2 linked regions of the Drosophila melanogaster genome follow. The protein of the gene in region 1 interacts with the protein of each later gene in a pairwise test. Each region holds a gene or a part of one and is shown in the gene's direction. Other genes may lie near its edges.

Evidence for each region.
Region 2: the proteins of CG43208 (region 1) and CG6180 interact in a two-hybrid assay, tested with the Drosophila melanogaster proteins (one large-scale study listed by BioGRID).

What each region holds. Positions count from the first base shown.
Region 1 is NT_033777.3:13,301,648-13,304,665, forward strand, and holds CG43208 (uncharacterized protein), read left to right. Parts: upstream 1-1,778; 5' UTR 1,779-1,817; coding exon 1,818-1,845; intron 1,846-1,910; coding exon 1,911-2,104; 3' UTR 2,105-2,209; downstream 2,210-3,018. Other genes in the region: CG8774 (uncharacterized protein), read left to right, coding at 1-584.
Region 2 is NT_033779.5:12,705,945-12,709,516, forward strand, and holds CG6180 (uncharacterized protein), read left to right. Parts: upstream 1-1,716; 5' UTR 1,717-1,826; coding exon 1,827-2,600; 3' UTR 2,601-2,736; downstream 2,737-3,572. Other genes in the region: spict (spichthyin), read left to right, coding at 1-503; CG15484 (uncharacterized protein), read right to left, coding at 965-1,585; CG5787 (uncharacterized protein), read right to left, coding at 3,309-3,365, 3,431-3,572.

The sequences.
Region 1 (3,018 bases):
AGAATCCGACCACTCGACCTTCCCCCGATCTTCGCGAGATTGTCTACTACTACGGCATGCAGCAGTCCACCAGCCAATCGAGCTGGGATCAGTTGTTCCAACTCTTTGTGGCCGAAACCGATGCCAGCGAGAAACTGAAGCTGATGTACGGATTGTCTGGCGTACGGAACAGCCAGTATCTGTTCGACTTCCTGGCACAGGCCTCCAGTGATGAGAGCATCGTTCGCTCCCAGGACTATTTCACCTGTGTGCAGTACATAGCCGCCAATCCTGTGGGTGAACCGGTGGTCTGGGAATTCTACCGCGAACAGTGGCCCCAACTCACCACCCGTTTTGGCCTGAACAACCGCAACTTTGGACGACTTATCGCCCAGATTACGGCCAACTTTGCCAGCTCCGTGAAACTGGAGGAGGTTCAGCACTTCTTCTCCAAGTACCCCGAATCGGGAGCTGGAGCTAACTCCCGGTTGGAGGCCGTGGAAACCATCAAGTACAACATCGAATGGCTATCCAGAAACGAAGCTGACATCACCGACTGGCTAAGTGGAACGGCCTCGCCGCTGACCAAGAAAAACCAATTGTAAAATTGTATATTGTATATAAACTGGCCATTTAGCCAATAATTAGAGTTGCATAAGCGAAAATTCCGTTCGAGTTCAATAAAATGAAATTTCAAAATCAAACCATAAATACAACCCCCATATTTTCATTCATTTTATCCGAGGCAAGTGGGGATTTCTATAGCTTCTAGGAAATAATTGGAGATAGGGTCTTTGAGTATATGGTCAATGCGGAATCATGACCATGCGTAATTATCCTGAGTAATTAGAGTGTCCAGTCATAATAGTCGATATATGGCCTTGTTCGAATCGTAAAAGTAATGGTCTAGCATAAAACGATTTTATCTGGACACGAAGCTATATAGTATATAGTCTAGATATCGGTCAGCAATCTGATCAGGTTTATCAAGTCCAAATTGTGGGGTCAGATTCGCAACTTGCATTCAGTTTCCAATTTGGCTTCCAGCCTAGTGGAAGCAGTCGAGTAATTTTCATCGAAAAAAGAATATCCCTAAAAATGGTTGCCTGTGAGTCTTCTATATAGAGTAGCATATCCCGAAGGAACAGTAACTAATGTGAACTCATTTTAGGGCTGACGGTTAAGTCAGTGGCCATCTTTTTGGGCCTGGCCTCTACTGCTTTTTGTGTGGCCACGATTGTGCTGGCCGTTCAGAATGCGGACCTGGAGAACGATCTGCAGGATGCCCTCGATAAGATCGACGCATTGACGGTGGACACCACGTCCACGTCCTCCACCTCTACCAGCACTTCCACGACCACCACCACTGCAAATCCCAATGGGCCCACGGATGACACCGAGCCTGGCTCTACCACCACACCTGGCGTAGGAGGTGACACAACCCCCAGTGCAGGAACATCTCCGGGTGGTGAAACTTCGCCATCATCCAGTACAGGAAGCACCACCAATCCCATCTATCCGACATTGCCGACAGGACTTCCTGATCCTGAAAAGGTGAGTGAAGTGCAAGAAAAATATATTTCACGGCTATAAAAGATGTTAGTTCAGAAAAACCCTCACACAGAGTGGGAAAATTTTCAGCGATTAGACGTAAAGTCGGCATGGCTACTAATTTCGAATTTATTAAGTTCCAACTTAGTCTTACTGGTCATTTCAAGTGCTTATCGCTTGGCTAGCGTTTTTTTTCCTCTTTTTTATCATAATACAAAACGGGTCTAATTTCTTGGGTCTTTTAAGTTAGTTTAATTGCGGCTAACGCAGTGTTAGGAGCCACAAAAATGGGACACATGCAGGACAGGATTAAGGGTATTTATTGATAACGAAGGAAGTTTTGGGAAAACACCGATACCGATTCATGTATATTTTCATAGACTTGATCACCGCTGAGCGCGTGGCTATATTCTTTGGTCTATTATCGACCTGCTTGATCGTTGCCCTTGTCATTGTGGCCGTCCACAGGGATAATTTATTGCTGCAGTTGGACGAAGCCAAAAGGATGTTGGATGTTCTGGAGGAATACATTCAAAGCCACTTGTTGTCCACCATTTCGGAAAGAAATTCATAAGAATTAGGGTGCTGGCAAACATTCAAAAAGATGGCTTTCAAATCCATATCTATTTCCAAAAATGGTTAAAGCAATAAAGCAATAAAGGCAAACGGATAAGAAACCAAAATACGCTTAGGTTTCAATATTTGTGTAGTAGAGCTATTGTTGTTTGATATCTGAAATTGCACCTAATAAATTAGGACCCTAATTTCACAACATTTAGCCACTATATCCAGCTAAGGCATATTTGTTGCAACGACGTCCACTTGGTTTACGACCTGACCACAACAGTGCTATTTCCTATCGCCACCTTATCAACGCATTGCTCACTTAATAGGGCCAAAGCCCATTATCGATGGCGTGGATATTAAATAAACTTTACGACCCCGCAGATCGAATGGCGCCTGCCCACGGAACTGACGCCCATCAAGTACAAGGTGTACTACCATCCCGACTTGACGACCGGCGCCTGTGAGGGAACCGTGTCCATTCAGTTCCAGCTGAACGCGATCACCAACCTGATCGTCCTGCACGCCAAGGAGCTCAATGTGCACAGCATCAGCATCCTGAACATGATGGCGCGCATACGCGTGGCCATCGATAGCATCAACTTGGATGAGTCCCGGGAGCTGCTCCTGATCACGCTAAGAGAGGTCCTCAGTATGAACAAGGCCTACACACTGTCCGCAAGTTTCGACTGCGATCTGAGCAGTCTGGTGGGCAGCTACATCAGCAACTACACGAATGCCGATGGAGTAGATAGGTGAGTAATTTTAAGGTATATCTTGCGATGACAAACATTTTGTTAGCATGTCTAGACTAAGATGTCAGGTATCTTTATTATATCGTACTATTTATGTAGCTAAGATCGTATCTAGTGCACTGTCCGCAACTAGTACGATTGCAAGCACACTTGTGAATACCCCCAATGC
Region 2 (3,572 bases), on another chromosome or scaffold:
TGTGCTCCGGCATCGGATCTCTGACTGTGATGTCCTGCAAGGCATTGGGCCTAGCCATACGGCAGACGCTGAATAACGGAGGCAACGTCTTCCTCACATGGATGCCATGGTTCCTGATCCTGGTCACCGTCACTTTCATAGCCATCCAGATGAACTATCTGAACAAGGCGCTGGATATATTCAATACTAGTATAGTTACTCCAGTGTACTATGTAATGTTCACCACCCTGGTGATAGCTGCGTCTGCCATCCTCTTCAAGGAGTTCACCCACATGCGGTTCGATGATATTCTCGGCGATGTGTGCGGCTTCCTGATCGTTATCACAGCTGTGTTCCTGCTCAACGCGTTCAGAGATATTGATATATCGCTGAACGATGTACGTGGACTGATGCGACCGAAAATGCAGCGGGTGTCGCAGTTCGACGAGGAGGTGCTGGTCACCAGCAATACCAAGGAACGGCGGCTGTCCTACGGATCCAGCGACATCTTCCGGAAGGCCTGACACAAGCAGCGCTACCAGGTCTAGTTACATCCCTTGCAGCGGCTGACCTGAAGACAAGGTTGCTTTACTCCGTAAACGAGGCATTGGTCCAAATATCTGTGCATATCACCTGCAATCACTTTCATCTCATCATTTCCATTTATTGTTCCTTCACTCTTGTTATTCATACATTCGCTAGCATAAGCACATAGGTTTAGGTTACACTTACATATATTAAACACGACTTAATGAAAACGATTTGTAATTGTAGTTTTATTTTTTGATTTTTGATATGATATTCGTATCTATGTATTACTAAAAAAAAACCATTAAAATATTCTACTACATTGGTAAATGTAGGTCGTTCCAAATCGAACGACAATATTCATTGCAAATAATGTGAGTACATGCTCAATCGGATTTAGTAAAATAAATCTTCAAGTTATTTTCAAGGTTTGTTAGTTAGTAATTTAATGAAGTATCTATGTATTCTGAATTTCGCCCTTGCTGGTCTTATCTGGATATTTTAATCCGTTCAGCCAGATGCAGTTGCTCAGACTTTTAGCGGTGTGAAATGAGTCATCGGCTGAGTTATCCGGACTGTTCTCCACTGGCGGAAGATCCTTTGGTCTACGAATCTTTCGTGGCGTGAAGAAGTCGCGATCTGTGATTAAAGGAAATCGCTGGCTTTCATTTGGAGCAACCGCAGGTAAGCTGATCTGCGGCTGGAGTGTCAGTGAGTCCTGTTTCAGGGTCATTCTTCCGAAGTTCCGGATGATGGCAATCGCCTCCACGTCCACCATTGTGGTGTCCTCCCAGTCCTCCATTGTGGCGTGCTCTCCCAGCGGCTTGGTGCCAGCTACTCTCTGAATCGTCTCCATCATTTGCAGACTTTGACGAATCTCTCGGCCCTTTCCACCCCGCGTGCCATATCCAAGCAGATCCTCGCGGGCTGTCAAAAGCTCATAGGTATGAATGGGAACGGATTCTGAGAATTCCTCTTTCTTCCTCAGTTCATAGGCGATCTGTCCATGGACCAGATTAAAGTGCGGCTCCAACTGCACCAGATCGTGCTCGAATCGTGATGTGGGAACCCAAGCCATGATGATTTCAGTTGCTTATAGTATTCTCACAGCCTTATTTTCATTTCCCGGAAATGCTTTTCTCAAGTAGACTGCGCAAATATTTTCGAAGATTAGAAATTCAAAATCACACATTCCTATCGATAGCGATAAAAACGTTTAAACGCTTACAGGTGAATCGCAACTTATCGATTGTCAGTCGGCAAATAGAACAATAAACAGTTTTTTAATTAATCCAATTTGGTTTACTTAAGCAATAAGGATGATTTGTATGCGGCTCCGGGTGTTGCGTAATCTCAATCGCAGCGCTTTAAATGGATTTAGAAAAGATTACATCCGATCAACCGGTGTGAATGTCAATTATTCAGCTGTCAACTTTCCGGCCGCCATTAGAACGCTGAAAACTTTTAGCAATTCTATCCTAACCAAGGAACCGAAACCAATCTTTGCATTTATCGCATCTCAGCGGCAGTATTCTTGCGAAAAAGTAGGCAAAACAATGGAGGAGCACTGCGTAGTTCCGGATGTGATCGCCAAGGCACCGGCGCAGACAGCTGTGGTGGAATATCCCGGCGATATTGTCGTGAAGCCGGGTCAGGTCCTGACCCCCACCCAGGTGAAGGATGAGCCGTGCGTGAAATGGGAGGCGGACGCCAATAAGCTGTACACCCTCTGCATGACCGATCCGGATGCGCCCAGTCGCAAGGATCCCAAGTTTAGGGAGTGGCACCATTGGCTGGTGGGCAACATACCCGGTGGAGATGTCGCCAAGGGCGAGGTTCTCTCCGCCTACGTGGGATCCGGGCCTCCACCAGACACCGGACTCCATCGTTACGTTTTCCTGATCTACGAGCAGCGGTGCAAGCTCACATTCGACGAGAAGCGACTGCCCAATAACAGCGGAGATGGACGCGGTGGCTTCAAAATCGCCGAGTTCGCCAAGAAGTACGCCCTCGGCAATCCCATTGCCGGTAACCTCTACCAGGCTGAGTACGACGACTATGTGCCCATCCTCTACAAGCAGCTGGGCGCTTAGTTTCTACGCCAAAAACCATGCTTATATAAGCCAGTCTGAATTGGATTCAAATCTATTGTAACCTAGAAATTAAAGACACCTATGAACACTCTGTGAAACCCTCTGTTGCTGGCAATAAAATTGTTAAAGACATATTAACTAAGCCACTGTATCTTATTACACATTTTCAATATTTTCATATCTTATCTTGTTAATTTGTCTGAAGTAATAATTCGGTTACCCTTTGCTGAGGCAAAACAGTTTCTGTGCTGGTTATGTATTTATTATTCATTCCAATTACAATCTACTTCTTTATCAATAGGATTCTTCTAGCGTCATTTGTATACATACAGATTTCATGAACTTGAGTTTATATCTCGCCAAAATACATGCTTTGAAGATACAAGACATAATTGCTATCGGACCTTCCAAATAGGAAGAACGTTTCTGATCAGTATTATAGTTATTTCCCAGGGCGCAAGAGACGCCCATCTGGGTAAGTTATTTATTTGTAAAAGCATTGCGACATAATTACAATCTACTTCTTAAAGTCAAGAGGATGGTTCTTCATGTGTGCAATAATAAAGGTCTCTAATACAACTAGATGCAGACTCATACAATCCATAAAATAATGCTGAAGAAGAACCCACGCTCTATTTCCTCCTTTGATGGGTCCAGTGCATATTCGGCTGTTGAGAAGGAGGGGAGGTGTCTAGTTTCCAAATTACTTTACTCTATAGAGGGAAAGACAGTGCGATGGTCTTTCCATTCGGTTTCGCTGATTGCCTATAAAAAGCAAGGTCGGAGTTAGTTAGTATGAAATAGGCTGCATGACTATGTTACCAACTTACCACTAGCTCGTCGAAAGCCTGTTTGGCCAGCCAGTGGAAGCATGGACTCTTCCATTCGCGCGCAATCGCCTGCTGATCCTTGACGTCGTCCTCGGCGGTGGACTTGGAATTGGTAATGGCCTTGTACTTGGCCCACAGGAAG